Linked DNA regions of Diceros bicornis minor. The protein of the gene in region 2 interacts with the protein of the main gene of each other region in a biochemical or structural test. Links are inferred from orthologs where the notes say so. Each region holds a gene or a part of one and is shown on either strand. Other genes may lie near its edges.

The links.
Region 1: the proteins of AP2M1 (region 2) and ATG9A interact in a biophysical measurement, tested with the Homo sapiens proteins (4 studies listed by BioGRID and IntAct, with this or other methods). The link is inferred for Diceros bicornis minor from reciprocal best matches to the Homo sapiens genes AP2M1 and ATG9A.

The regions. Positions count from the first base shown.
Region 1 is NC_080776.1:9,526,981-9,542,294, reverse strand, and holds the start of ATG9A (autophagy-related protein 9A), read left to right. Parts: upstream 1-9,531; 5' UTR 9,532-9,565; intron 9,566-9,683; exon of another isoform or gene 9,684-10,000; intron 10,001-10,539; 5' UTR 10,540-10,594; intron 10,595-11,010; 5' UTR 11,011-11,039; coding exon 11,040-11,142; intron 11,143-11,259; coding exon 11,260-11,303; intron 11,304-11,831; coding exon 11,832-11,896; intron 11,897-12,665; coding exon 12,666-12,827; intron 12,828-13,010; coding exon 13,011-13,152; intron 13,153-13,389; coding exon 13,390-14,138; intron 14,139-14,221; coding exon 14,222-14,375; intron 14,376-14,479; coding exon 14,480-14,659; intron 14,660-15,064; coding exon 15,065-15,313; intron 15,314-15,314. Other genes in the region: GLB1L (beta-galactosidase-1-like protein), read left to right, coding at 1-24, 131-171, 372-490, 792-866, 968-1,057, 1,199-1,312, 1,585-1,716, 1,948-2,163 and 1 more; tRNA endonuclease ANKZF1, read right to left, coding at 2,918-3,041, 3,265-3,350, 3,486-3,653, 3,788-3,899, 4,062-4,548, 5,218-5,367, 5,544-5,772, 6,053-6,200 and 5 more. UniProt on the Homo sapiens protein: Phospholipid scramblase involved in autophagy by mediating autophagosomal membrane expansion. Cycles between the preautophagosomal structure/phagophore assembly site (PAS) and the cytoplasmic vesicle pool and supplies membrane for the growing autophagosome.
Region 2 is NC_080754.1:39,495,523-39,511,192, reverse strand, and holds the start of AP2M1 (AP-2 complex subunit mu), read left to right. Parts: upstream 1-8,010; 5' UTR 8,011-8,112; intron 8,113-10,120; 5' UTR 10,121-10,163; coding exon 10,164-10,237; intron 10,238-12,115; coding exon 12,116-12,381; intron 12,382-13,123; coding exon 13,124-13,206; intron 13,207-13,794; coding exon 13,795-13,930; intron 13,931-14,020; coding exon 14,021-14,162; intron 14,163-14,672; coding exon 14,673-14,792; intron 14,793-14,892; coding exon 14,893-15,028; intron 15,029-15,131; coding exon 15,132-15,229; intron 15,230-15,670. Other genes in the region: DVL3 (segment polarity protein dishevelled homolog DVL-3), read left to right, coding at 44-211, 3,315-3,530, 3,629-4,065.

The DNA.
Region 1 (15,314 bases), on a different chromosome or scaffold from region 2:
GAAGCTGGGAGCCAGTGTGAACATGTAACTGGAGACACTGGGGCCAACATGAATCTGTAACTGGGTGTTGGGAAAAGTTAAGATTCAGTGGGTCAGCTTTTACCTTTCCCCCCGCCCTCCCCCACTTCAGGTACATGTTCCACGGAGGTACCAACTTTGGATACTGGAATGGTGAGTCCAGATGGTCCCTGGGGCAGAAGCAGGGAGGTAGCAAGGAATCAGAATTTGATGGCTGGGGGCATTAGGATGTCTAGAAGCTGGATATGGCCAGCACCGCCCCCTCTGATGGCAGAATTCTCTGCATGAATTTCTTTGCTTAGTGTCTATCATCTGAAAGATATATTGAATTAATTAAATGGGTTTGACCGCAGGTGCTGATGAGAAGGGACGCTTTCTTCCAATTACTACCAGCTATGACTATGATGCACCCATATCTGAAGCAGGGGACCCCACACCTAAGCTTTTTGCTCTTCGAGATGTCATCAGCAAGGTGCCCTACCACTTCATTAAGCGCCAAAGGCTTTTATTAATTTGGGGGAAGGGAGTGCCCAAATTGTTTGTAAAGGGATTGTTGTCAGGGCCACAGAGCTCTCTGAGCATCACATGGAAGCATTTCCCACCCACCCAAATGGGACTCCCTGGGGAGATACACAAATATGTACAAAATTACTGGATCTTCATGACCCCTGAAGCCGTTCCCTGGACCCCAGGTTAAGAACTCTGTGCTAGGGTCTTGGAATAGGGGTTGTTTGTGTGGTTTTCTTATGACTCCTGAGAGAATTTGGGCTCAGTTCCAGGAAATTCCCTTGGGACCTTTACCTCCCCCCAGCCCCAAGATGATGCTCGGACCTTTGACATTGCACCTGGTAAGCTCCTCCCCATTTTTTCTCCCATTCTACTCCTTGATTCTCTAAATAGCCCAGTCTGTCCTGCCCTCAGTTCTGATACTTCCCCCTTATTCTAATAGGATGGGGATTTGCTGGATTTCCTAAACTTCCTGTGCCCTCAAGGGCCCATCCATTCAATCTTGCCAATGACCTTTGAGGCTGTCAAGCAGGTAAGGCGTAATCTCACATTTGGTGGGTATGGCAACCTTCCTCAACAGCTGTAGCCACAGGTTCCCTCAGCTCAGCATTTTGCCCACAGCACCCTTTCTTCTCTCTCAGTCCATCTTAAGTACTCCTTCTTCCCCACCCAGGACCATGGCTTTATGTTGTACCGGACCTTCCTGAGCTATACTGTTTCTAAGCCAACACGATTCTGGGTGCCAAACAACGGAGTCCATGACCGTGCCTACGTGATGGTGGATGGGGTGAGTCCCAGTTTCCTCTCCTCCCCGGCACCCTTAAGCCTTAAGTCCCCATATCTACCTTTTCCCATTGCCTGCTCACATTTGCAGGGGGTCCAGGGATAAGCTGGGATGAGAAAAGGTTCAACTAAGGATAAGGTTCCAGAATGGATGGGTAACTGACAGAAGGGCTGCACTCTCTTTGCCCTCCAAATAAGCGTCCTAACGTGGCTTCCTGTGTGATGGCCACGAGCTAGACGCTGGGCCCTTCCTCTCATAGAGACTCTCATCCACAGGTGTTTCATGGTGTTTTGGAACGAAACATGAAACACAAATTATTTGTGATGGGGCAAGTGGGGGCCAAACTGGACGTCTTGCTGGAGAGCATGGGGAGGCTCAGTTTCGGGTCTAACAGCAGTGACTTCAAGGTAAGCTAGTTCTGCCCGCCCCCTCGCCCTCATACTCTTACTGACCAAACTCCCTTGGAAAGATAGGAGTCAAATGGCAGATAAACAAGAGCCATGTCCTTAGGAGTTAGGCAGCAAAGCAGTGGCTTCTGGTATCTGGACATGGCCACTAGCTGCATCCCAGGACTTCGTTAGGGACAGTCGGGCCTCAGAGCTTAGTGAGTGATGAATGCGCCTTTGCCTTCTCCACAGGGCCTCTTAGAGCCACCAGTTCTGGGGCAAACAGTCCTTACCGAGTGGCTGATGTTCCCTCTGAAAGTTGATAAGCTTGTAAAGTGGTGGTTTCCGCTCCAGCTGCTGAAAAAGTCACGTCCTCAAAATCCCTCTGGCCCCACCTTCTACTCCACAACGTTTCCAATTTTAGGCTCAAGTGGGGACACATTTCTCTACCTACCTGGATGGACCAAGGTATTGCTCACGATGCTGGTTGGGGTGGGGAGTGGGGTGGGAAGAGAGGAAAATCATGGAAGGCAGGGAGCAGAAATTATTCCTCATTAGAAACCCCAAAGGGGATGATTCTCCCCCCTTAAGAGCTGACCCTTTATTTTCCTCTCTCTTCCCTCCTTCCCAGGGCCAAGTCTGGATCAATGGGTTTAACTTAGGCCGCTACTGGACAAAGCGGGGGCCACAACAGACCCTTTATGTGCCAAGACCCCTGCTGTACCCTAGGGGAGCCCTCAACAAAATCACGTTGCTGGAGCTAGAAAATGCGCCTCCCCAGCCCCAAATCCAGTTCCTGGATAGGCCCATCCTCAACAGCACCTTGCATAGGACATACATCTATTCCCTCACAGCTGATGTACAAAGTACCCCTGAGCCAATGGAGTTAAGTGGGCACTGAAAGAAAGGTAACCCTTGGACCTGAGACATGGAGGGGGCAGGATGCCTTGGTGCTGGCCACAGTGACCACATGGAACCACAGGCCACAGGCCTGAATGTAAGTTCAAGGGCAGTTTCCATGCCAAACTTTATTGTGATTAAAGTTCCAGAGATGGTCCCACCTCCACACACCTCTGTGGCCCTGTCTTTGCCCTGGTTCCCGAATCCCCCTCACCCTAATCTTCCAAATACTCTCCGGTTTCGAGGGAAGGAAGAAACCTAGGGCTAGTGTGAAGGTGCCCTCGCAGGGCCTAGAGCTGGCCCCAGTCGGAGCTGTAAGAGATCAGGAAGAGGGCTTCCCAGCCTGACGGCGGTGATGCTGGAGGCAGCGTGTGGAGCAGAAAGAGAAGTCGAGGTAGTGAAAGGGAATGAGGCCTTGGAGGGATGTCCCACAACTCCAGCAGCGTCTGAACGAGAGGAAGAAAATGGCTGGACTGGTACCCCAGAAACTTCCCAATGCAGCTCTCCCCATCCCTCCTCCTGCCATTTGTTTTGCCTCCAAAGGTTTGCAGAACATCTCAAATCCCCTCAACAGCCTTTCAGAGTCCTGTGCAGACACTCATTCCACTCACCCCAAATGGTCCCCACAGCATCACAGTCTGCCCGCTCCCACCTGCCCCCTCCACGTACCGAACATTGACGACGGCAGGGTCGGGGAGCTGAGGGGCAGGGGCTCCCGACTGGGCAGCGAGGCGGCGCTCTGCAGCCAGAGCTCTCTGAGGGGAACAGGAGCTGCGTTCAGGTCAAGGCCCCAGTGGTGGAGAGCATCCCTAAGAAGTGACGGCTGCACACTAGGAAGGGACCGGACCTCTAAGGAAGTCTCGCCGTGGAGAGAGAACCTGCAGCCTCACCTTCTCGCGGTCGCTGAGGGCGGCAAAGCGCCGCTGCTCTTCTTGCTCCCGCATCTCCTGCTCCCGCTGCCTCCGCTGCTGTTCTTCCCGCTGCCGCCGGGCTGCCTTCTGCGCCCTTTTCCGCAGAGCCTGCCGCGCCTCCATGTCTGGTGTCAGTGGCCCTGGCACCTGGAGGATTCCCGGGAAAGTATGAGGTAAGGCCTATGCAAACTATGCTTGGTAAAACTGTAAGAAAGGAGGAAAGATCTAGCCAGGATCTATGGTGGTGCCTTCCCACTCTGCTTCTTCCTTTTCCAGCTGACCTGAGCCTTGTTGTAATCATAAGCATCTGGATTCTTCTCCATGAACCTTCGGAACTCATTGCGTGTTGATCTGTCAGCTGCAACTGTATACGGTGGCCGGGCCCGGGAGTCCCTGGGTGCGAAAACCCAAAAAAATGGGTTCAGCTTGCCTCCTGCATCTCCCAACATCACCCACCCAGACCAAGGGGCATACTGTCGAGTAGCCAGTGCCAACGTTAGCCTCCAGATCACCCTCCCTACCTGAAAAGGGACCAGCAGGTGGACCCCTACTTACAGCACAGTGGGGTCGGCACCTGCCTCCAGCAGCAGGCGAACCACTGAGCCTCTCCCAGCTGCAGCTGCTGCGTGCAGGAGGGTGAAGCCACTGGAGCCCAAGGGGGCGCTGAGCAGAGACAGAACTCCAGGGTCTACGGGGCTGGCTGCTAGCTGGAGCTTCAGCATCCCAACGTCTCCAGCTCGGCAAGCAGCTAGAAGTACATCCCAGAGCTCTGGCTGACCAGGGGCCTTGGCCTCATCTGGGGCAGGCCCCAAAGGGGCTGCAGGTGCCTGGGCCGACTGTGAGAAGGCCTCATCTTCTTGAGCTTGCTGGAGAAGAGTCATATGTGCCCCAGCCTCCAGGTCTCGGCTTTTCTCCCTCTTGTTCCTTTTTCTCCTCCTCTGCTTGGGCAATACCTCAAACTCACGAAGATCCAGGGTCCCAAGTGTCAACTCAACTAGCTCCAACTGTACCTGGAAGCTGTCCTCTTCCTCTGACTCTGAACCTAGGGAAAAAATTGACGTGTTAGATCCATCTAAAGAATAAGCAGAGGGTGGAAGGGTGTGGGCTGCCCCAGATGTATAAGAATGTACATGAAGAGATAATCCAGCATCTTGAAATAATATTGTTTGTATTCTGTCACCTGAGATAAAGGAGCACATCAAGGGCTGAAGCCATTGGTATCACATGCAGAAATGGGGCTCGCGGCCCAGGCCCAGAAGGAGCTCTACAGGGACAGGAGTCTCTGGGCATTCCCCGTGAGCAGCCTCGGGATGGTGCATAGCAGAGGAAAGCCTGGGGGCAGTGGCAGCCGTGCAAGCCAAGAGCATGCAGCCAGGGAAGCAGCCCTTAGCCCAAAAGCAGAGCATCCAATAAGACAGGTAAATTATGTGAGATTCACCCAACACATATCCAAGCATCTACTACATGCTAAGACTTTTCTACGTGCTGGGGATACGTCAACGAACAAGAGATAATAGGAGATTTGGAAAGGTCACTGAACGTGTCTCAGTAATTGCTACCATATGCCCCATGTTATTAACAGACCTGTGTGTGTGTAAGGGCTCATCTATAAATAGGGAAGTGGGTCAGTTATGAGAGTAGGGGATTTGCCTCTTGCATTTCCAGGACAGACCCAGATAGAAATATGGCAATTCCCAGATGGTGCTCAAACCCTGTTTGGGAGCGTCCTCGTTCTGCCCAGCTGCCTCATTTTCATCGCTGGGGACCCTTCTTTCTTCCTCAACAGCCTTCTTCCTCTCTCTCATTGTCTTCCAGTGTGTCTGAGCTAAGTCCAACCTGACTGTCTCCCGGGGGTCTTCTCCTGCCATAAAACAAAAGATGTTTCTCAAGTTTAGCTGAGGAGAAGCCAGCCCAGGTTTCTCTCAGTGAAGATGCCATCACGCTGCAGTCCTAGAAAATTATCTGGATGCACAAATGAGAACCTGAAGATTGGGCTGGAAGGTCTAGGGAGTCTAGGGATCTGGATAAAAGGCTTACCATAAATATGCAGGGTAGTCAGCTTATGGAGCACACGCTGTAGCTCTCGGAAGGTGGGTCTGCGGGTAGCGAGGGGGATATCCCAAAGTCGGGGATCCCCCCGTTCCAGGGGTGCCCCGTGGCCTCCGAAGAACAAGGACCGGCCAGAGCGAGGGGCACGCAGCAGTATTGTCCCAGCCTCCCCCAGTGCCTTAGCCCAGTCTGGCCCTGCCAGCAGGTCACGAACATCCTGGAGAAGACAGTAACTCAGCCCTGCATGGCTTCACTTGCTGTTAAATCTCCAACCAAAAAATGGCCCACAAATCATATGAAGAGGTAGATGACACAGAGAGAGGAAGAATGAGAGGACTAAGACTGCTGAGGATCCATCCCTATTCTGTCTTTGTCTCCCCAGAAATAATGAAGGCTGGAAGGATACAGGAGTCAACCTCCCTACTGTAACATTTAATGAGTTGAGAAAGAAAAAAGTATGGATTAGAGGACCACCAGATGTGGGACACCCAACTCACCTTATACAGTGTGGCTTCATTGTAGCGCCTCAGGTTGGCTCCAGCAGAGCGAGAAGCCCCACCCCGGGCATCCCGAAGCCCCTGGGCTGTGCCCCGCTTGGCCCGCACTGTGTAGCGGTGAAAGGTTTTGTGTGTCACCACTTCTCTTCTGTAGACAGCACAGACTCAGTACTGGAAACCAGCTGGTACTCCCAGGCTAACAGGATCCATTCCATCCTCACCCCATGCAGCACCCTCTCACCCTTGGAAAATGGCACCAGCAAAGTGCCCAGCTGCAGCCATGAGCACCACGCAGGATCTGGGACCTCCACTTGGCAGGTTCTGTAGCAGCAGTTCTGGTTCTTCTGGGGGCACCTGGACGACAGAGGAGCAGCACAAACATCCTATCTGTTGCATCCACTGAGAGCAAGAAACCAAGTGCCACTGCTAACAGCTTCACACGCATTCCTTCATTTAATACAACCACCCCAAGGCTCATCAAGATCAAGTGATATAATCACAATTCAAACCTAGATTGGTCTGTTTCCAAACTTGATTCCATTAAACTTGATCATTCCAGGATTCAGGCCAGTTCAATCCAAAACTATGCTGTCAAGTGTGATACCCACACCCAACAGGAAGGAAGGGAAGAAGTGAAAAATGGACTAGGCTATGGGGAAATCTAGAATGACTGTATAAAAGGCTGGAGTTCACTGCACAACCTGTGCTGACACTTGCCTGGCGAGGACCTAGGACACAGCGATAGGCATAAAGAAACTGGCCCTGCGCATTTTGGAAAAGAACCCGATGTGGGTGGAAGCCTCGGGGTCTGTTAGGCTTCTCCAAGTCAGGCCTCTCCTCATCCAGTATCTGCAAGTCCTCCTCATTGGCTGAGTCTGAGTCTTCTGATCCTGAGATGCTGGAAAGATCTCCTGAGAACAACATGAGATACACGAGTTTGGTGCCCTATCTCTGACCTCTCCTCAAGCTCCTCCACTAGGGCCTTCCTCCACCCCATGTCCTACCCCCACACGGCTCTCCCACCAGACCTCACCTGTGGAGCTCTGCTTTTCAAAGTCCACGGCAGACAGGAGAGGCTTGTCCTTGAGACGCTGCTTTAGGTTAAACCGATGCCAATCAAGCTTATAATGTTCCCTCTAGCAGGAGGAGAGGGAGGCAGAATGTGGAAATATGCCCAGCCTGGCGTTTTATGATACCCAAGACCAGGTAACACCAACTGCCTTAGTCAAAACATGGACCTCTATTAATTAAAGACAAATGTCTGTCTTCACCCACCATTATACTTTTGCTTCTACCATTTAACTCTGCACCTGGCCCTTTACCTGTTCCTGGTGGTTCTGGAAGGTCTGGTCACAGGTTGAACAAAGTAACTTCTCTGAAATATCTGGAGGACCCTGGAGTGATTTTCTTTCTGGGCTTGCTCTCTCCCCTGAACCTAAATAAGGGGAGGGTAATTAGAGGTAGAAAGGGAGCCCAGGGGCCGGCCCCACGGCTTAGCGGTTAAGTGCGCGCGCTCTGCTACTGGCGGCCCGGGTTAGGATCCCGGGCACACACCAATGCACTGCTTGTCCAGCCATGCTGAGGCAGCATCCCACATACATCAACTAGAAGGATGTGCAAGTATGACATACAACTATCTACTGGGGTTTTGGGGAGAAAAAGGGAAAAAAAAAAAAGGAGGAGGATTGGCAATAGATGTTAGCTCAGGGCCGGTCTTCCTCAGCAAAAAGAGGAGGATTAGCATGGATGTTAGCTGAGGGCTGATCTTCCTCACTAAATGAATGAATGAATGAATAAACAAACAAATAAATAAGAAAGGGAGCCCAAATCCACAGTACCAGAATTACACACAAAGCAGAGGAGGATACAACAGAACGAGATGGCATGTCCTTGCCTTCAAGGAATTTATAACCTAGTAATTGCGAAGAAAATGGCGCAGCAATCACTTGGTACAATAAATATGCTTCTGAAAAGATGTATGTAAAATGAATATAAATCAAACATTGTATTTAAATTAACCAAAGGGATTGTTTAGAGGAATCCTGTAGAAAATAATTTTTGGTAAGGTTAAAATTATTTTTAACTGTGCAAAAACCACTTCTGAAATACCAGTTTTTTAGCTTACATTTCCAATTACAGTGTGCAGTTTGGTTTTAAAAAGTATAAGAAAAACAGCTGGAAACAAACCAAAGTTGTACAAAACCAATAAAAAGTCTTATATTTAGCAAGAAGGAATGATTTGATTGGAATCCAGTTAAATTTAGACTTATATCTAGGAATTTTGAAAATATATCTAGGAATTTTCAAGTATTTCTGCAGGCAGTGGTGTAACGTGATGAGACATAAGCAATGGCAAGAGATCTGTTAAGACAATTCAGGGGCCTGTGCTGGAAACAACCCAGAGATTGAGTGAATTTAAGATAAATTTTATTAAACGGAAAAAGATGTCAATAAGGGCTCCTCAGCTGTGGAATACCAACAAGAATGTGTTCCCTAGAAGAGCAATACGCTCCAAAGAGCCCTGTCACGGTCCTCATGGGTGCACACCACGCCTTCCCGGGTACCTGGACAGGAAGTCTGCAGAGCCTGGGCCAGAGCCTCCCCGGGAGCGTGGCTCACTAGGCGGAGGCCCTGAAGGACCGGAGCATCCACGCTGAGGTCAAACAGGGAGACCGACGCAGGAGCCTGGGCTGCAGCTGGAGCCGGCGACATGGCTGAGCAGAAATTACTGAGAAGCAGCTCCTGGAGCGGAAAGGGGGTAGGAAACAGAGCTCCCCAAAGCGAGATCCTACTGCCGCGACTCCCGCATGCGTGACTTGGTCTCCCCCACGCCGCAAGACACCCTGGCCCTCACCCTGGTACCAGGAGTCAGTTCTGGGGTTAATCCGTGACCCCAGCCCGCTTTCTCCCAAGTCCCGTCTCGGGCCACACAAGAGTGAAATGGGGGCGCATCCACCTTCCTAACTGAGGCCCATAGAGTTAAAATTACTGAAGTTTCCTAGCCGACCGCGATGAGCTCCAGCAATGACTATACCGCGTGGACTCGCCCCCGCCCTCGGAAGCTGCATCAAACGTCCCCGGGAACCGAGCGGCACGTACGTCCACTGTTCGAAGCCAGGATTTCGGCAACACAACAATCTCGTCACTACGGAGTAGCGAAGAGGACAAAACGACTGCGCCGGCACCTGAGCCCCGCCCCACGTAGCGCGAGCTATTGGTCCTCCGACTGTCCAAGACCCGCCTCGAGCCCTTGGTCCCGCCCCCGAAGCCGATAATTGGCCGTCGTGTCTCCACCCCCCATGCTCATTGGTCAGGCTGGCTGCGGGTGACAGTGAGTGGCAGACGCCGGGCCTAGCGCTCGGGTCTGGCCGAGCCCAGCGGAGCCGACGGAAGCCCTGGAATCACCCGGGTCACCGTTCTTGAGGGGAGACGCGAGACCGGTTACTGGAATCCCAGGGTCCGGGCCTGGCCTGGCCAGGGGTGTCGGCGGAGCCCTAAGTGAGCTCGCAGCGGGTAACGGGGGAAGGGGCGCCGCGGGCGGGGCGGAGGCGCGCCGCCGGAATGTTTTGATAGCGGGGGCGCGCGGCCGGGGGTGCGCGGGGGCGGCGGGGGCGCGCGCGAGGTTGTCCGCTGTTGGGAGCCGAGCCCTCGGCCTAGGGCCGGCTACCCGGGGGCGCCCTGGGCTCGGGTCGTGGCGGCTGGGTGTCGGGAGGCAACCAAGCCCCCCTGGGGTATCGGCTGTCGGGCTGGCTCGGTTCCTCCAACATCCGCAGGAACCTCTGAGCCCACGCTGGGTCTCCCTGGGCCCTGGGTCCACACTGTCCCGGTGACGGGTGAGTTCCCTGAGGGCTTGGTCAGCTCCTTTGGACCCAGGGCTCTCACCCACCAGGGAATCCCACCGGGCCAGGCTGGGCCGTGCTCCACAGTCCCAGGGTCTACACTGACTGGGTGAGTGCCACCTAGACCCCTGGCTCCGGGGACCTAGGGAACCCACAGTTCACCCAGGATCTGGGTCTACACTGACCCAGTCGTGATTTCCCATCCAGGAGATATGCCTGCCTGCTGGGCCTTTGGTGCTAGGGAAGCAGGGGAAGGGGTTGATGAGAAAGGTCCCCTTGAGAAAAGACTCTCTTCTTGGGTTTTGGGTTTGGGGTTTTATGGACCTTGAGAGGCCTGTCTAATTTCTGAGGCTGAGGTTGGGTAATAAAGAAACAGTCCAGAGGGGCCGCCAACCTCAGGCCTCTACTGACTCAGTCTTCACAGGTTCAATAAGCCACTTCTTGGGATCCTAGAGTTGGCTGAGTGGCCCTGTATAGACAACCAGAGGAAGTGGGCATAGCCCTAGGCTGGAAGGGTGCCTCTTCCCCACTGCAGCCCCGCTGCCCCATGCTTGGCCCCTCTTAGTGGGGAGGGTGGGGGGGTGCGAGGGGGGGTTTCTTTCTGTCCCCACTCCCCACTCTCTGGGGCCTGACCTTCTCTTCCGGCAGCTGCAGAGCCAGGGCATCGAGGGCTGAAGCGGAGCAGACACTGTCCATGGAGCTGGTAGGACCATGTGCTTATCTCAAACTTTGGTTTACACAGTGCTTCCAACTGCTAGTCACTTGTGAGACCAGGGTTTCTCCAGGAGGGGAGGGGAGGGCCCCTTTTCTCCACTGAATATAAGTTGAAAGCCCCTCCACCCCCAAAGGGGAGAGTCTGGCTTTAGGCCAGCAAGGCCTCAGTAGACACTCAATAAAGGGTCTGGGAATGACTGACCTCACTGGTCAGGGAAGGCCTCCCAAACCCTGAGCTTGCTGCTTTCCTTGGGTTATTCCTCCTCCTCTGCCTTTGAGCCAAGAAGACTGGTAGTGAAGACCAAGCCCAAGGTTCCTGCTCACTCCTTCGGGCCTAGGAGGCAGGGCAGCAGACGAGTTGTACTGGGGTCTGAACCTGGGTCTCTTCTTCCTTGTCACTGGCAGGTGGACACGGTGGACAGGGGGCGGTGGTGATGGCGCAGTTTGACACTGAATACCAGCGCCTAGAGGCCTCCTACAGTGATTCGCCCCCGGGGGAGGAGGACCTGTTGGTGCACGTCCCTGAGGGGAGCAAGTGTGAGTTCTCGGACATGACAGCCAGAGCTGGGACATGGGGGGAGTTGGGGGAACACTGAGGGAGAAAGGGGCTTACGTTTCTTCAGGGCCTTGACATCTCTGCTCCTGTGCCCACAGCACCTTGGCACCACATCGAAAACCTTGACCTCTTCTTCTCTCGAATATCCTTCGTGTCTCTGTGTTGGAGATCTGGGACCTTTAGTCCCTCTCTAAGCCAGGCCCCTGATGGGAAGTTGGGGTGGGTTTGACTCTCCCTGGAAGGGGGGTGGAATCTTGAGGCTGAAAGTGGCTGGGAAAATAATGATCGTTATAAATAATGATACCTCACATATACCAAGAGCTCTGTGCTTTGTACTTCGTGGTGTTAATTTATAAAGAAGCTTTCTAAGGGTGATCCTCCTTTTTGATGGCATGCTAATAACCATAATAACTACTGTGTTTTGACTCATTCTGTGTCAGCTCTGTGTTAAATACTTTACATGCATTATTTCAGACCTAATAATCCTGTGAGGCAGGTGCTATTATTCCCAATAGACCACTGCAGACAACAGCTGAGAGAAGTTAAGTAACTTGGCCAAAGTCACCTAGCCAGAAAGTCATAAAGCCAGGACTTAAGCTCAGGGGTGTGACGCCAAAGTCTGTGCTCTTACCTGCTGTCTCTACCGACCACTTTTTCTTAACAATCACACGTTTACAATCTACACCAGAAGAATGGCTTTACTTGTATGCTCATCGGGGAGATCTTTGAGCTCATGTAAGTATAAGGGATGAATGATGTGTTGAAGGAATACATCTCTGTCTCTCCTCTCCTTGAGCTCCCGCCTGGCCCTACCTGCCAACGCAGTGGAGTCCTAGGCTCACTAGTTCAGGGACTGGGTGTGGCACGAAAATTTACAGCCCCACCTTTTATCTCTCCCTTAAAAGGAAAGCTTTCCAAGTCCTGTCTCTTCCACAAAGAGAACTCAGACTTGGTCATTTCATCAGAGCTCCAGTGGAATGGGCATGGTTCAGTCAGGAGGTCTCAGAGATGCCAGCTACTTCCTCGAGAAAAATCTCTGTTCTGCCTTGGTTACATCTCAGGCCTGCTGCTGGGCAGAGAGCCTTCTAAGAGGAAGGAGCCATATGGCCTTGCCAAAGGGGAAGGGGTTGGGGAACCCTCCCTCAGTAAGAAAAGAGTTCAAATCCCCAAAGGGCTTCTAACTCCTATCTCAAAAGGAAATCAGGGCCTGGGGACCAGAGACCACAATCACAAGACCTTTGGCAGAGTCCAGTAAGTGGTGGCAGAGCTTACTCTGAGGAGAGGAAAGGAGGCTGATGCTGTGGCACCTGAGGCTAAGAGCAAAAATAGGTGGTTTGGACCTGAAGGTCCCCTGGGGCTGAGCATTAGTGAGAGCCCACTGGGAGTTCTCCAGCCCCTCCATTTCCCAGAGGCTGCTCCCCAATCTTGACTCTTCTCTTTTCCCATCTTATTTTACTGGTGCCTCTCGGGCTCTCGGACTGTGTCCCTTTTCCCATTTCCCCAGGCAGTTCCTCTTTGTGGTTGCCTTCACCACCTTCCTGGTCAGCTGTGTGGACTACGACATCCTATTTGCCAACAAGCTGGTGAACCACAGTCTTCACCCTACCGAGCCCGTCAAGGTCACTCTGCCAGATGCCTTTTTGCCTGCCCAAGTCTGTAGTGCCAGGTAAGGGCTGCAGGTCAGAGGGCACCAGAGCCTGTAGTTCTGCTAGCAGTTAGGGAAATGGAGTGGAGGGTGAGGCAGTTACCCATTCCCTAGAGCACAGACTCAAGCTGAATCCTGCAGGATAGCAGTATGTCTGCAAGATTCCTCAAGGCCACCCCTCCTGCCCTCCTTTTTCCCCACCAGGATTCAGGAAAATGGCTCCCTTATCACCATCCTTGTCATCGCTGCTGTCTTCTGGATCCACCGGCTTATCAAGTTCATCTATAACATTTGCTGCTACTGGGAAATCCACTCCTTCTACCTGCATGCTCTGCGTATCCCCATGGTGAGACTGGGGAGTTGGGCAGTTAGCACCACAGCCCGAGACATCTTCTGCAGCCTGGGAAGGGCGGGGTGTATTCCTGGGCATCAGGCATCCTCATTGTTGTTGGTGGGTCAGGGAGCATCTGCTTAAAGGCTCCCCTCAGCTAAAGACAGGACCCCCGAGCCTCACAGCTAATGCGGGGCAAGGGGCCGAAGCACAAGCCCACCTTCCATACCTTGTCTCTTCCCCACTCCCCAGTCTGCCCTTCCGTACTGCACGTGGCAGGAAGTGCAGGCCCGAATTGTGCAGACGCAGAAAGAGCACCAGATCTGCATCCACAAGCGCGAGCTGACGGAGCTGGACATCTACCACCGCATCCTCCGTTTCCAGAACTACATGGTGGCACTGGTGAACAAGTCCCTCCTGCCTCTACGCTTCCGCCTGCCCGGCCTCGGGGAGGCCGTCTTCTTCACCCGTGGCCTCAAGTACAACTTCGAGCTGATCCTCTTCTGGGGACCTGGCTCTCTCTTTCTCAATGAATGGAGCCTCAAGGCTGAGTACAAACGGGGGGGGCAACGGCTAGAGCTGGCCCAGCGCCTCAGCAACCGCATCCTGTGGATTGGCATCGCCAACTTCCTGCTGTGCCCCCTCATCCTCATCTGGCAGATCCTCTACGCCTTCTTCAGCTACGCTGAGGTGCTGAAGCGGGAGCCAGGGGCCCTGGGAGCACGCTGCTGGTCACTCTACGGCCGCTGCTACCTCCGCCACTTCAACGAGCTGGAGCATGAGCTGCAGTCCCGCCTCAGCCGCGGCTACAAACCCGCCTCCAAGTACATGAATTGCTTCCTGTCACCTCTGCTGACACTGCTGGCCAAGAATGGCGCCTTCTTCGCTGGCTCCATCCTGGCCGTGCTGATTGCCCTCACCATCTATGACGAAGATGTGTTGGCTGTGGAACACGTCCTCACCACCGTCACGCTCCTGGGGGTCACTGTGACCGTGTGCAGGTGGGCCGGGGCAGCAGGTGGGAGCAAGCAGATCAGCGTTCCTGGTAAAGGCTTACATCTCACCATGACCCTGATCCCACCAGGTCCTTTATCCCGGACCAGCACATGGTGTTCTGCCCTGAGCAGCTGCTCCGCGTGATCCTCGCTCACATCCACTACATGCCTGACCACTGGCAGGGTAATGCCCACCGCTCGCAGACCCGGGACGAGTTTGCCCAGCTCTTCCAGTACAAGGCAGTGAGTGGAGTTGGAGTTAGGGCCTGCTAGAGACTGGCTGACAGCTCGGTGCTAAGGGCTGGGTCCCTCCTGCTCTCTTGTGACCTTGGTCCCCTCTCTTTTAGGTGTTCATCTTGGAGGAGTTACTGAGCCCCATTGTCACACCCCTTATCCTCATCTTCTGTCTGCGCCCACGGGCCCTGGAGATTATAGACTTCTTCCGCAATTTCACTGTGGAGGTCGTTGGTGTTGGAGATACCTGCTCCTTTGCTCAGATGGATGTTCGCCAGCATGGGCATCCCCAGGTACTGGGAGAAGAGGGGGCAGGTGGCCAGAGGCAATGCTGGCACAGACAGTATCTTTGGGCAGATTGCAAAAAGGCACCCCTTTTGAGCCAGCAAGTCACAAAAAGGCAGCCGTGCCTCCGGGCAGCCTTGTACCAAGGTACACACGGCATAGTAAACAGGAGCCTAGGCTGAATTTTAGCCCAAAGCTTGCACCCTTGGCCAGGCTCGCTTGAGAAAGGCACAAACCAAGCAACTAGCCCACCATGTGGCCACTCCAGGGGTGGGTACCGGGGCCCCTGGACAAGACACAACAGTGCATTGCGGTCTCTGTCCTCCAGGGGCAAGGCCTCCCCCCAGCAGGAGAGGTACAGAAAGGGTTCCTGTGAGAGGACAGTCCTGCTCACGGCAGCCTGCCTTCTGCAGTGGCTGTCCGGTGGGCAGACGGAGGCCTCAGTGTACCAGCAAGCCGAGGATGGGAAGACAGAGTTGTCACTCATGCACTTTGCCATCACCAACCCTGGCTGGCAGCCACCACGCGAGAGCACAGCCTTCCTAGGCTTCCTCAAGGAGCAGGTTCAGCGGGATGGAGCAGCTGCTGGCCTTGCCCAAGGGGGTCTGCTCCCTGAAAATGCCCTCTTTACATCCATCCAGTCCTTACAGTCTGAGTCTGAGG
Region 2 (15,670 bases):
AAGGCAGGTAGGCCTCCCAGTCAAGTGGCGGCCTTGCCCCCAGGCTCGGATGTAGTGGACTGGCTGTACCACAACGTGGAAGGCTTCACTGACCGGAGGGAGGCCCGCAAGTATGCCAGCAACCTGCTGAAAGCCGGCTTCATCCGCCACACTGTCAACAAGATCACCTTCTCCGAGCAGTGCTACTACATCTTCGGCGACCTCTGTGGCAGTACGTGCCTCCCCTACCTCCCGCCCTATCTCCTGGCTGGGAGTGGGGAGGCGCCCAGGGATGTGGTAGACTCCAGGGAACCCAGATGAGGGGACAGCAGAGCTGGGGGCCCAGCTCAAGTCCTGAGAGTTCTGTAGTGGAAGCAGAGCCCAGTCCAGCCTCTTCACCTGCCCCACATTCCCCTCTTGGGGCTGGCATTTTCTAAATGCCCGCTTTGTGCCTGGCACCATGCTAGTTATTTCTGAAGCAATGTCTCACTCTCTCACTTAGTCCTTACAACCTCCTCCCCACCCTCAGGGAGACCAATTAACATCCTTGTTTTCAGATGAGGAAACTGAGACTTGTAGAAGTTAAACAGTTCACCCCTGGTCTCACAGCTAAAAGCAGAGGAGCTAGGCCTTGGGTCCAGGTCTTTCTGGCTCCAGAGGCCTTGTTCTTCACACCATCTGGGGCTGCCCTAGGTGTGTGGTGCTGCAGAAACATTGTCTCAGCAAGGCCAAACAGAGTTCCTACTCTTGGCCCCTGCTCAGCCTTCCAGCACCAAGCAGGTTCCACTAGGGCAGGACCAGGGGCTGGCCTGAGGCCCCAAGTCCACAGCTTCCTCAGACCCCTGAGAGTGGGCTGTGCCACAGGATAAAGTTGGAGAAGCTGTCGGGGCCAGGTGGTAGAGGACTCTGCAAGCTGAACTGAGGAGTTTGGACTTGATCCTGAGACAGTGCAAAGCCAATGAGGGTTATTAAGCAGGAGAGGTCTGCAGAGAACCATCCTTCTCCTTCTGAGCCTCTGGACAAGCCTTGGGAATGGGAGTCCTCAAGACAGGACAGCATTGCTCAGGGCTGGGAGCTGAAGCCCACGCCCAGCAGCCACCTCTGCCTGAGGGAGCCTTCTCTGGGCCCAGTGGTGCTGGCTGGAGTCCAAAAGCTAACTCTTAACATGCTTCAGATTAGGTTCTAGGGACTAGAAAGGCTGTTTCTGCAGAGCACAAGTCCCTGGTGGAGAGTGGGTCCCTGGCCCTCAGCAGCTCCAGTGTGGCCCCATGGAGTAGTGATAGATGCATAGGGTTTTGGAGTTAGACAGTCGGAGTTCAAATCCTAGCTCCACCCTTACCGTGTGAACATGAGTAAGTGACACAGCTTCTCACTGCCTCAGTTTCTTCGTCTGCAAGATGGAGTTAATAATAGAACTTATCTCATAGAGCTATTTTGTGAACAATATAAGACAATGTATATAATGCTTTTAGCATCATGTTTTGCCCATAGTAAGTGCTCTATAAAAGTTGTCTATTATACATATATTTAATTGGTTCTAAGATGAACATGTTTTTCACAGTTCAATATCTCTGAAACTGGGGTGCATCTTAGAATCAATGACTTCTCAGACTCAATCAAATGTAGTTATTATCATTATTAGAAGTCAGCCCTGGCCCCAAACCTCCAGGGACACATAAAGCTTCTCAGGGCAGCTGTGGCTTTTGCTCAAGAGACATTGTTCCTTCCCTAAGGCCTCTAGGGTCTTGTACCCATGGACCAAGGCCACCAGAGGCCCAGCTCAGGGAGATGCTGACAGAACAGGCCTTTTCCTTCTCACTGGCTGAGGTCTCCTCAGCTGGGAGTACAGCAGGCTTAAAGGGAAAAGCTGGGGACCTGGCTAGCCCCAGGAGCACACAGTCACTCCTCTCGGGATCACAGCCTGGAGGCTGAAGTAGTCACCAGCTCTTTGGGCATAAGCCAAGGCAAGCCCCTGCTTCCCATCCCCTCTCCCCCCGTGCTAGCTGCTGGCCTTGACAGGTTGATGGCTTGGCTGGCAAACTCCACAGGCTGCCTTAGCCCCCTCAGAGCCCCCTCTCCTGACCTCTTTTCCCCTGGAAGGTTGGGCTGGGTCACTTAAGGGCTTGGAAGAAAGGGCTCAGTCTGTATCCAGCAGCTGTCCCCTAGGGCAATTACAGGTCTCCCAGAGCTCTGGGACCTGGCACAGATGGGGTGTGAGCAAGGGGTGTCCCAGGCAGGTAGTCAGTTCTAGTGGTCCTTTATACTCCGTTCCAGGTAGTTCCAGCATTGGTGGGGGCAGCCTTGCCCTTGCACAGTTTACTGAGGGAGCCAGAGTCATGAAAGAAGTAATGTTAACACAGTGAGACAAGTGCTGTGAAGAACCAGGCCTGGCTGGGAATGGGTGCAGAGCACAGAGGAGGCACCTAAGTTGCTCTCTTTCTTGGCCCTTCCCACCCTCCCCAGCAGCACCAGAAAATGGATCCAGGCCAAGGGCCTTCTATATGGGGAGGCTCTGAAAGGCCTGATGTTCATTCTGGTTTTTAATGGGTAGTTTTTCAGTCCTAGGTGAAGGGGGAGGGCAAAATTTCACCTAAATTTCCCCAAACTGCTCCCTACTCCTTACTAATGACCTCACCTGGAAAGGTAAGGAGAAAGTAAGTGACGCTCAGCTTCTGCTCTGGCGACAGTTTGGCTTGATCCCAGGCTGGTCATTTAACCTCTCTGGACTGCACTTTCCTCATCTGGAAAAAATGTGACTAATACCTTCTTCATAGGCTTGTGGTAACATTTGCATGAGATGAAGTGCTTTGTATTGTGCCTAATGAATTGCAGGTATGCCATACCTGGTGGCTGGCTGGCATTTCAGCCTTGCACATTCCCCTACTTCTTACCCTCTAAGTGAACAGTGGAGAAAACTGCCAAATAAAAGAGTTTTGCCCCTTCTTCCAGTTCACTGAAGAAGGAGGAGAAACTGCCAAAGGCTTGGTAGGGGGTCTGGCAGTTGGATACAGGACTGGCAGTTGGATGCCAGGATCTGGCACTGAGGAGCTGCAGTGTAACTCAGGGCCTTCCTGAGGAGAGTTTTCCCTGGGGCCATCTCTGCAGGGTTTCCCTCCCCACCATCTCTGGTGGGGGGCAGAGAGGGCTGAAGGAGTGCGAGATCTCTGGCCTGTGCCTCCTCCCATTCTGGCGAGAAACTACCGCAGCTGTTGGTGTCATCCCAAAGGCCCCCACCCAACCTAGGCTGGCGACCTCTCTCTCCTGAACTAGGGGTGCAGGGGCACGAGATAGACCCAGCTCATCCGGCCCTCCCCTAATCCCCCTCCCCCCCACAGACATGGCCAACCTGTCCCTCCATGATCACGACGGCTCCAGCGGTGCCTCTGACCAGGACACGCTGGCCCCTTTGCCTCACCCGGGGGCCGCCCCTTGGCCCATGGCTTTCCCTTACCAGTACCCGCCGCCCCCGCACCCCTACAACCCGCACCCTGGCTTCCCGGAGCTGGGGTACAGCTATGGCGGGGGCAGCGCCAGCAGCCAGCACAGTGAAGGTAAGGGGAGGGGCCCCTGGGGGGTGCTCCAGGCGAGCCCCGGGCTTCCTCCGCAAGCTCTCAGCGTCCCCCATCCCGTCCCTGCCTGTCCCCTACAGGCAGCCGGAGCAGCGGCTCCAACCGCAGTGGCAGTGACCGGCGGAAGGAGAAGGACCCGAAGACTGGGGACTCGAAGTCGGGCGGCAGCGGCAGCGAGTCGGACCACACGACGCGCAGCAGCCTGCGGGGGCCGCGGGAGCGGGCGCCCAGCGAGCGCTCGGGCCCCGCCGCCAGCGAGCACAGCCACCGCAGCCACCACTCGCTGGCCAGCAGCCTGCGCAGCCACCACACGCACCCGAGCTACGGCCCCCCTGGCGTGCCCCCTCTCTACGGGCCCCCCATGCTGATGATGCCCCCACCGCCTGCAGCCATGGGGCCCCCCGGAGCCCCTCCGGGCCGCGACCTGGCCTCCGTGCCCCCCGAACTGACCGCCAGCAGACAGTCCTTCCGCATGGCCATGGGAAACCCCAGTGAGTTCTTTGTGGATGTGATGTGAGCAGGGCCCCTCCCCCACTCCCAGCCCACCCCCGCCCTGGCCCGCTGCGTCCCTCTCTCCGTCCGTCCGACTTTTTTACTTGTCTGGTACCTGGAAGGGAAATAAACGGAACTAAATCCAGGCGCGCTAACTGCTCGCTGGGCGCAGCGAGGGCGGGGTGCACCCACCGATCGCCACCGCAGCCCCTAACCTGCCCCCTGCCCCAGCTTGTCCCTCTGCCCACTAACCGCTGCGCGGGACTTCCCAGGGTCCTTCGTGTCCCTGGGAGCCGACTTGCTGGTGCTGCTCCTTACTTCCCTCTCCCCCGCACACACTTCAGGAGTCAACCCAGCGGTGCCCTTGAGGCCCTGCTCACCCCCTTGTCCCCTCCTTCTCCCCCTCAGTTCCCTTCCACCACTCATTCAGCGACATCCTCCCTCTATTAATCCCATCCCCTCGAGCATGTGTGCCAATCTCCTGACTTTTCCACACAATACTGACACCAAAAAAATACTTGCTTCATCTGCCTCTCCTCCTAAGTGTCCCCACCTGCTGCCTCAGTCCTGCAGCCCAGGGCTGGAGTCACCTCCAGTGACTATCCATGCTATCCCTGCCTGCGCTCAGCCCTTACCAAAAGCCCAGGAGGCCCCTCAAGTTGCCTGAGCTGCTAGTGGCTTCCAGAGAGCATCTCTACTCTCCCCTCCCCCCGACCCTGCCGCGCCCCTATGCCTGCCCTGTGTGCTGGTTCCTTCAGACCCCTAACCCTACTAACCAGCAGGCTCATCTCACCTCTGGGCCTGAAACATTTCTTTTCTTTCTTTTTTCCTCTCCTTATTTTTCCTGGGCCTGGAGCAGCCAAGAATTTCGGGCTGTTTGACTTTCTGTGACCCCCCGCGAGGGGAGGCCCTGCCTCCGAGGAGACCAGGACCCCTGCTTCAGGAGCTCCTCAGGGGATATCGGAGGATATTCAGCCCCCACACCCACACTTCAACATGCTGAGTCACTAGGCTTCTGTGAAGGTCCCCACACTCTCTTGCCCATGTATGGGAGACTCTGTTCCCCTTTCCAGAATATGATCTCTCTCTCTTTCTGTCTTTCACACACGTGCAAGCGTGCATGTACACACACACACACACACACACACACACACACACGTGCCTATGCAAGTTTGCTTAAGCCTCAGGGCTGGTCCCTGCCCAGAGGGCTGGACTCTCTCTCCCTGTCCTCTCCCAGGTCGTGGGGCTGGTCCCCTGACATCCCTCTCCCTTCCTTGTAGCCCTCAAGCCTCCCACATGTCTCCATCATCCTCCTACCTGGATAAAGCCCTTAAGCCAGGTCTCAGGCCAGGCTCAGCAGGGGACTCTCCGGCACCCCACACCCTTCCCTATTTTCACAATCACCATGATACCCCAGAGCAATGGTGGGCAAGGGGACTTCTGGAACTTCCAGACAGAATGCCAAATTTTATTATTTACCTTATTCTCCAATTTAAACAGAACATGACTTTCTCTTTAAGCCTCTTCTATAAATTCACCTGGCTCACCTAGGCTCTCATATTTTCAGGACTGGCTGTCAAGAGTGAGATGAAGTCCTAAACTCCAGGCTTTGGGGCAAACCAGGGTAGGGCATTTTGGCATTCATTCATTTATCAAATACTTCCTGGGGTTTCTGTTGAGTGAGGGCTGTGTTGGAAGTCTGACTCAGTCTTGCCTGCCTTCTGGAAGCTCTGGGTTTGCTGCCGGCCTGGATCATGGCCTCCTCTAGACACTACTAGGGCTGCCTCCTGTACTTCTCTTCCTTCTCTGACTCTACGTTGTCCAACTCTCTTGAGAATTCCTCCACTGTTGCTCATGCCTTCAGTGTCGGTGCTCCCAGTGTTCTATCTTCAGTCCACTTCTCTTTCCTCTCTATTTACTCCCCAAATGGTATCATCCATCCTCAACTGCCACTGATATGCTGGTGATTCCCAAATATATTATCTCCAGCCTCAACTTCCCTCCAATCTTTAGATCTGTATTATTATCACCCACTGGACAATCCAGGGACATGTCTACATGGATTCAACTCATTTCCCCACCAAGTGTGTTCCTCCTGAATTCCAATCCTGGGTACCTTCACCACACTACATAGGCTCACCAGCTAGAAACATTTATGGGCTTAAACTCCTTCCCATATCTTACTAGTCAGCGTATCATATCCATTCCACTCTAACAATCTTTCTTGAATTTGGCCCTTCTTTTCTCCTCTGCCTCTACTCTAGTTCACAGGAGCATGGGATTTGGAGTCAGGTGGTTCTGGGTTTGAATCCCAGCTCTACTACGTTTCGGTTGTGTGATAGGAGAGTTATTTATCTCTCTGAGCCTCAATTCCCTCATATGTAAAATGACGATAATAATACCTACCTCACAGGGTTGTTGTGAGGATTTAAATTAGATATTGTACGAAAAGTGCCTAGCACAGTGCCTGGCACACAGTAGAATAGGTGCTCAATAAATGGTAGCTATTATTATTATTATCATTATTATCACCATTATTTACTCTAAATTAGTAAGGGCTTAGGGTATGTATTGAAGATAAAGGGAGGAGTGAAGCCCTGAATGCTGGTTCAAGGATTAGAAGTGCCTGTATTTGGTCACTTAATGGCTTCCCACTGTGAACATGGTTTGAAGGAGACCAGATCTTCATCCTGCCACATCCTGGTTCCTGGTGGGAGGATGCTAGGTACAATATGGCTTGAAACCCATTTTGCTATTTCTTGCCCTTCCTTTCATGTCAGCTCAGCCCTGCCTAAGGAAGGCAGCAGGCTATATCTCCCTACAGAAAGAGAAGAGCCCACAAATTTTCTTCAGGTCCTGCAACAGCCACACAAGCCTTTCACGTTCAAGAGTTGGCTGTCTCCTCAGCTTGATTGTGGAGATTAACTCTGTTCATCAGAGTGGGGATTTCAAATCCCATGTCCAGTTAAATTTAACTTGCCAAAAGTTTTCTAAGCAACATATATGCCTGTCACTAGAAGGCACACAGGTCCTGGCCTTGAAGAGCTCACAGTCACGCAGGTATAGCTGAGGTGGAACACTGGGCATATTCTTGAAAAGCTTTAGCTAGTTTCTTCCAAGTACTTGCCTCCTTACTCCCTGCCTCTTAGCTTGGGTCTTGACCCCTGGGAAAAGGCTCATGTCTGGAACAAATAAGTGATGAAAAAAGCTTGGGAGAATCACAGGTGGTGTTAGACAGCAGTAAATTCAGCACAAACACTTCTACTGCCAAGTCTTGTGTTTGTGTGTCATGTGAGGACAGCTAGTCCTTGGACTCTGAAGACAGAAAAGTCCCCACAGCAATCAAAAGCTTAACAGTTGGGGGCTGGTAGGTGGTGTAGTGGTTAAGTTCATGCGCTCTGCTTGGGCAGCCCAGGGTTTGAGGGTTCAGATCTGGGTGTGGATCTACACACTGCTCATCAAGCCATACTGTGGCAGCTTGCCAGGTACAAAATAGAGAGGATTGGCACAGATGTTAGCTCAGGGACAATCCTCCTCAAGCAAAAAGAGGAAGATTGGCAACAGGTGTTAGCTCAAGGCCAATCTTCCTCACCAAAAAAAGAATGCTTAACAGTTTTGTTTCAACAAAGGCCACTAATCCTCTGAGACTCTCCGAAATACTAAAACAGGAAGAGGAGGGACGCCACACACTACAATTCCCAGACTGCTCAGAGGGGAAAATGAAGTGAGCGGACCAGCTACGCTGTGATGTGTATTTGGGGTAAGGCTAGATAAAGCCACTCCTACTCACTCCCAGGGCACTCCTACCCACCCCCCGAAGGTTCTCGAAGCCCGTCGGTAGTTGTAGTTCTGCTAAACCTAGAGAGCTTAAAATTGTAAGCGAGGAGGCCGAGGAGCCTGACGGGATTTGTAGTCTGCGCGGGAGGCAGATGCGCACGCGCAGCCGAGGCCGGGGCGGGGCCGCGGCACTGCGGTGAAAGCCGAGGCAGCGGGCAGGCGAGCAGGGGGCGGGCGGACATCTTGGGATCCAGAGAGTGGCCGGGCGGGCCGAGCAGAGGGCCGCGGACGCCAGGTGAGCTGGGGATCTGGCCTTACGGGGTGAAGGAGGACGCCTGCCCCGCTGCTCTGCATTGCGCTGCGCGGAAAGCTGCCCACACCCGGGAGTGGGCTCAGCCTTCAGATCCGGAGGGAGCTGACGGCGGGGCGGGAGCGCCCAGGGCGCGGTTGCAGCACGGGCGGGGAGCGGCGCCCTCCACCTGACCCGCCCTGCGCCTCCCGAGAGAGGGAGACCTACTGGAATCCTCCCAGAGCAGGGACGTCGCGCGGCGTTCCCCTCCCTGGGATCGTGACAGCCCCCTACCCCTCTGCGCCGCCTCCTCTCAGCGCAAGGACAATTCCCCCACTTCAGGACAGTGACACCCCCTTGTGCCGCCTCTTTGGACTCTGACAAGCCTCCACCCTGCGGCACCCCCTCCTCCCAGTAGAGTGACACCCCGTGGCTCTTCTTTCTCAGGCCTGCGACAGCCCCCGCACCCCGTGGAACCATCTTTTTCGGCGATATTTCCTCCCCAGGGTGAAAAGGCCGCCCACTTATGCCTCTACACCTGAACCCCAAAACAGGTTCCGTCTCCCCAGCTTTCCACCACTGTCAATCTCTCCCTGCCGTGTTTCCTCTTCAAGGCCTTGACCTTTGCCATACTGGAAGCTTTCTCCAGGTGCCCCCGCCAGCCTGTCGCTGCTTTGGGCTCACCTGAGCATAGGGCTTGGCTATTGCTGCCAGTCTTTTCCCTTAACTGAATATTCCATTCCAGTCCTGGGGCCCATCTCTGCTTCTCTTGTGCCCTGAGCTCCCCACCACTTGATACCTGTGAACTTGGTTCTTTCCCCCCGGCTCAACCTCCATTTTGCATTTCCTCTCCCAGCCTCTTTGCGACTGAGGGATGGGATGTGTCCACCACCTTGGGAGACCCCTCACTGCGCCTGGGAGACCTTGACGGCCACAGTAATAGACTTTATTTTCCAGTTTAGAAAAGTCTGCCAAACTCCCCGCCTGCGAACTTAATACCAGAGCTAATCCAAGAAATCTAGAACTAAATTAAAATTAACCCTTTTTCTCCTTGTAAACAATCTAAATGAGTTTGACCCAGATAATTTGCATAATTGAGGCATTCTGCCCCTTGCTTATAGGCTCTCAGGCCAGAAGTGAGTTATGTTGTGGGTCTGGAATCACAGAATTTCAGCTGGAAGGATCTCTTAATTTTAAGGACTTGCATTTCCCCCCACCCCCGACCCTCCTTATTTTTATTGTACTTGGGAGCTGAAAGGGAACCTCCCTTTTTGAAAGGGGAGTAGTCAAAAATAACTAATAAGTAGCTTGGGTCATTGAAGTGTAGTGGGCCAGGGCTGAGGCCTTTCTCCTCTGCTCTTTTGCCTGCTTATCTGATTGTCTGGGAGAGGTTGGAGCCACAGTCCTGGGTCCATGTCAGGGCCTAAGGCCTCCCTTCTCTCCTCCTCTCCCCACGCTCCACACCCTTTCCTGGAATGTTTAGGCTTCTGTGAATTAGGCTGGAGGTTCAGGCCCTGCCGCCTTTTCAGAAGGGTAGTGGAGCCTGAGAGACTGGGTGTTCCTAAAGCTGTGCCTGGGGGCCCCAGGCCTGAACCAGTTGGAGTAATTTCTACCGCCATTCCTGCAGCCGCAGGCAGGCCTTCGCAGTGACTCACTGGCTAGAGCCTGGGTGAGAGTCTGCACAGGAAAAGGAGAAAAGGATCCCTACTGAGTTCAGCTCTGCTCTGTGGAGAGGGGGAGGGGGCTACTCTCTGGGTTCAGCCCAGAAAAGGGAGGGTCAAAATGGCCTTAGAGTCCTGGGCTCCAGTCCCTCTCCCTTTCTTTCTCCCTTCCAGGATGGGATAAACAGGAACTGGAGCCTGGCTAAGGGGAGGGGCCTGCCTGGGAGGGCTGCAGGGTCACTTGCTGAAAGGTTGAGTCAGGAAAAAAGCCCAGCCACTGACCTGCACAGCCCCACAGGGGACGTTGGCAAGGCTTCTGAGGCCTTCCTTTACCCTGCCCCCGCCTGTCTTAGGTCTGTTCTCAGAGCGATGGGCTGCGGAGACTGAGCTGCCGCCATGATTGGAGGCTTATTCATCTATAATCACAAGGGGGAGGTGCTCATCTCCCGGGTCTACCGAGATGACATCGGGTGAGTCCCCTGGCTGAGCCAGCTGTGCCCCCACCCTCCTCAGCCCTCCTCCCCAGCATGTAGGACCAGGTCCCTACCAGAGGCTTGACTTGGACCACCCCTACGCCTTGCTGCATCCTGGAAGCTCAGCTAGTACAGTCTGGTTCCCATTAGGTCCGGTGGTGTTGGCTTGGCAGCCAGTTGCTGGCCGCTAGGTGGGACCTGTGGAAATGGCATGGCCCTCATAGTCTTAGGGACTCCTGTCCTTCCTGTCTTCTGTTTCCCTTAGTGATAGACCTGCTTGCTGGAGATGAATGCTTTTGCTTGGGCAGGTTGATACCTCCTTTGAGGAGGAGGGAGATCAGTCTCCAGTGGGTGGAGTTAGTGGCCAGGCTGGAGGTACTAATCCATCTAAGTCTTCTCATGGTGAGAGCCTTCACTGTATTCTCTTGAAAGCCTCTCCAGGCTGCCGAATCCTCTCCCACTCCCTTTCTCAGAAGGAGGCAGGCTGCTGACTCAGTTGTTTTCAGTTCCTCTGGGCTACTCCTGGAGGAGAGGTTGTGAGCAAGCCTGAGGCATTCTGCAGGTCACTGAGGGAAGGGCAGGGAGGCCATGCTACCCTTTCTGGCCTGTCAGAGTAGACCCAGAATAGTTCCTTGTTCTGGATCCCTCAGATCTTAACAAGGAGGCACAGCCTTACTTTGCCTTCTGCCCTACCCTGCATTCCACTGTTCTTACTGACTGAAAGGACATGGCCTAGCCTCAGCAGCTCTAATGAGATTAGGCTCTTCTGGTTCATGCCGCCCTGTTTTTCTTCCTCAAAGAGCCTAGGATAGTCATAGAATGGGCCTGCTGCAGTGCCCTAGCTCCTTGGCTCGCGGCTCCCTGGCTAATGGGCTGGCTTGGCCTTTGTGGCTGTTCGTCCATTGGCTGGGGGGAGGGGGGGGCCCCTGAGCTAGACCTGTGGCCATGCCTGGCTTGCCTGAACCTGGCTGGGTAGACCCCTCTGCACCCCCTCCTTCCCTGGATAGACCTGGTTAAGCCGAGGCCAGGGCACATACTGTCTTGCGTGTCTTGCTGTGCTCTCCACCCCTCGCCTGTCCTTCGTCTGTTTCCCCCTCGTGGTGTCTGCTGCCCCCCCCTCTCCCCTAGTGTGTTGTGTGTCTAACCCTCTCTCTCGTTGCTGTCACTCTCCTCTTCTTGCTGGCGTCATTTCTCTCATCCCATCTCATTGGCTGCCGTAGCAATAGGTAAGCGGCCTGTCAAGCTGCCGCCCAGGCACAGGTGGGTGGGGGGCCCTGCCCCCCCATCGTTATTTTCTTCATCCTTTTTCATTCCCTGAACTTGCCCTGGAATTGGATCCTCAGCAAGACTGGGGGACCCCGCTCCACGGCCCCTTGGTGCTTCTCCGTCAGTAGATTAGAGCCTTCTCTGAAGTCATGCTGGCTTTGTCCAGCTTCTGGAGGAGCCAGCCCTCCCCACTGGTGGGATCACTAGTGGGAAGATGGGAGAAGAAGCAGGGTCTCTTTCTTATCTGGGCCTGGAGCTTACTGAGAAGCTAGAGAGGTGGCAGCTGAGAAATTGGGGCCAGGCCCGGGAATCAGGAACATACCCGCCTAAACTGATGGACCTCACTTTATTAAGGTTACATCTGTCTTCCTGTCACTGCCACTTGACTTCCCTGTCTCTCATGGTCTTCAGACACCAGCCCAGCTCTGGCCCTCCTCCCATATCCCCACTGGGAGTCACAAGGGAACCACCCAGTGGTTTAGGCATTGGCTTTATAGTACGAGTCAGACTTGAGCACTGAAGGGTGGGGCTGTCAGCAGCTGTGGTCGATCCCTGCGGAATGAGGTCTGCCTGGGTGCTGAGCATCCCCTGTGCGCCCTTTTCCCTCAGGAGGAATGCAGTGGACGCCTTTCGGGTCAATGTTATCCACGCCCGGCAGCAGGTGCGCAGCCCCGTCACCAACATCGCTCGCACCAGTTTCTTCCATGTTAAGCGGTCCAACATCTGGCTGGCAGCTGTCACCAAGCAAAATGTCAATGCTGCCATGGTCTTCGAATTCCTCTATAAGATGTGTGATGTAATGGCCGCCTACTTTGGCAAGATCAGCGAGGAGAACATCAAGAACAATTTTGTGCTCATATATGAGCTGCTGGATGGTGAGGCTGCTGGTTGGTGAGGCTGGTGGGGCAGTGGGCCTAGGTGGGGATGAACCTGAAGAGGCCTGGCCTGGAGGTGGGAGCAGGCCTGAGGCTCTAGTGCCTTCTGAACTTTTCCCTGACTATCTGGTCTTTTGAGCTGGGAGAAGGCTAGTCCAAATCCAGACCTTAAGGCTGTTCTGAAGTGGCACACAGAAATGGGCTAGCGATTGGAGGCAGGGGAAGACCAAAAGATCTTTCTAGCGGCTAGGAACTTGATGCTGGGGTTTGGTGGCTAGGCCTCTTGCAGTTAAGCACGTTTCCTCCTCTTATGTGGTTTGGGCCTTATTTCACTGACTGACCTTTCCAGCTTCCAACAGCTGCCTCAGAGCCTGGAGGAGGGTGAGGTGTAGGCCCTGGGTGTGCACTGTTATCTTGGTTCCCCTGTGAGGTATGATTTAAGTGAACAGTCCTTACACTTTTCCAACATCTCTGTTTTCTAAAGACTCAGGGCTTCCTGACCTCTCACCCACTGGCCATGTGACTCATCTGCTGATTTTCTCGGAAAAAATCTGACATTTTAATTGTTTTCTCATGAAGCACAAATCGCTGAGTAAATGCTACAAAGCTGGAAGACTTTGCTGCAGATGATCGCACACTCTTCTGGAGCTGTGCTGGCCGGACATGTCCAGGCCAGGGGAGGGATTGGAGTGAAGGAGCCTTCAGCTTTTTCCAGGTGCTGATGGTTTCCTTCTTTCTGCAGAGATCCTGGACTTCGGCTACCCACAGAACTCAGAGACAGGCGCACTGAAAACCTTCATCACCCAGCAGGGTATCAAGAGCCAGGTACTTGAACTGTACAATCACAGTCAGGGTGAAGCCCAACCTCCCTTCATCCCAGCTGGCCCCCAAGCCTTGTCCTAGCTGACTCATGAGCCTGCCTCTGACAGGAAGTGCTGGCCTGAGCCTTCTGCCATGACTGCAGGCCTATTTTTCTCTGTGTGGCCCTCTCCCACTCCAGGAGCAGACTCAGCACCTCTGTTACTGGGAATGCAGCTCAAGCAGTTTCCTTCTGCACTGGGGGAAGGAGGGGTGGCTGCTCTAGTGGCCTGGTGTTCCTCAGGAGGAGAGCGCTTGGGCCCTCCTCTAGGATCCAGGACTCATAGCTTCTCCTCCTTCTTTTCTGCCTGCCTCTTCCCGTCTGTGCTCCCCTACTGCTTCCTGTGGGTACCACATTGGCCCTGTGGCCTCCAGCATCAGGTAAGCTGTTCCCTCAGCTTCCACCCTCGCAGCTTTGCTCCGTTTTCTCCAGGCCCTGCCCCATGGGGCTTGTGGGGGAAGACGGGTTACAGGTGGGGACTAGAAGGGAGTGGGGGATGAGAGTGGAGTGGAGAGGAGGGAGGCCATTGCTGTTTGTGTCTATCCCCCATGTAGACAAAAGAAGAACAGTCACAGATCACCAGCCAGGTGACTGGGCAGATTGGCTGGCGGCGGGAGGGCATCAAGTATCGCCGGAATGAGCTCTTCCTGGATGTGCTGGAGAGTGTGAACCTCCTCATGTCCCCGCAGGGTGAGGGCCCTCTTGTGATGAAGCTGGAGGGAGACTGGGGCAGGAGCCTGGTCCTGACTCAGGTGTTCCTGTTTATCTGTCTATCACCAGGGCAGGTGCTGAGCGCCCACGTGTCGGGCCGTGTGGTGATGAAGAGCTACCTGAGTGGCATGCCCGAGTGCAAGTTTGGGATGAATGACAAGATTGTCATTGAGAAGCAGGGCAAAGGCACAGCTGATGAAACAAGCAAGAGGTGCCTGAGGCAGGGGAGCTGGTGCAAGAGGGTGGACCTTGGAGGGCTGAGAGGGGCCTGGTGAATCACAAGTTCCTTCTGGATGTCATTTCTGCAGTAATGCAAACTCCTTCTTCCCAGGGGTGTGCTTGGCTGGTTGCTCTTGACATCTGTGCTTAAGAGAGATGAGGGGATTGTCCTCATCCTACTCAAGGAGTAAGCTGCTTCGTTTGGTCCCCAGACCAAGGCTCTTTTGTACATACTGATGGCCTCTGCCCAGTGTGCCTGAAACCTCTGGGTACCAAGCAGCAGAGCTCTCAAGAGATGATGAGCTTGCAAAGCTCCCCCTCATCCCTAACTCTGGGACAGTGACCCCTGAGTCAGAAAGCTGCATTCCAGCAGCATCCCATAGTCTATAGTGAATGCCTCACCCAAGCTCTGGCAGCCTTTGGGGATGGGATAGCCTCCCAGCCTGACTTTCTCCTGCCACTCTCCTATACCAACGAGGAGACCTTCTGCCCCTGCTTGCAGTGGGAAGCAATCAATTGCCATCGATGACTGCACCTTCCACCAGTGTGTGCGACTCAGCAAGTTTGACTCCGAACGCAGCATCAGCTTCATCCCACCAGATGGAGAGTTTGAGCTCATGAGGTGCCACTGGGATGTGAGGAGGCAGGGGGTGCTGCTGGCAGAGCCAGGGGAGAGGGAGGAGGACAGGCTCTACTATGCCAACCTTGCTCCCCCCTCAAAGGTATCGCACCACCAAGGACATCATTCTTCCTTTCCGGGTGATCCCGCTAGTGCGGGAAGTGGGACGCACCAAGCTGGAGGTCAAGGTGGTCATCAAGTCCAACTTCAAGCCCTCACTACTGGCTCAGAAGATTGAGGTGAGGACAAGGGACTTGGGGAGGAGGAAGCATTTGTCTCCAGAAATAAAGGCAGCTGGTGTCAGGGCTTGACAGAGCTCCCTGACAGGTGTGTCACTTCTAGGTGAGGATCCCGACCCCACTGAACACAAGTGGGGTACAGGTGATCTGCATGAAGGGGAAGGCCAAGTACAAGGCCAGCGAGAACGCCATCGTGTGGAAGTGAGTCTTTCCTTCATGAGATCCCAGCAGGGCTCAGGATGTCTTGGTGTACCCTCTTAAGTTTTACCTTTTGTCCTCTGAGAGTGTGTGTGTGTATGTCTGTGTGTGTGTGTTGCGGGAGGGTGCCTGTCTGCTTCTCCAGGAACCTCTGCTTGTGCTGTTACCTCTTATACCTCTGTGTGAGTGTGCACATGCCCACACTTGGGTGCACGCATGCATTTATTCATCAAGATGCTTTCATGCTTCCCCATTTGCCCTTGTGACATCTGCGTGAAGTAGACAGAGAGCAGGGAGGGCATGCCCATGTATCTAAGCAGAAACCGCAGCCCACACTGCTAAAGGAATAGCAGACCTAAGGTTCCAAAGCAAGTGGTTATCAGGGTCCTCACCACGTTTCCTTGTCCTAGCACCACCCACCAGCTCCTGGGTTCTCTTCCCCCT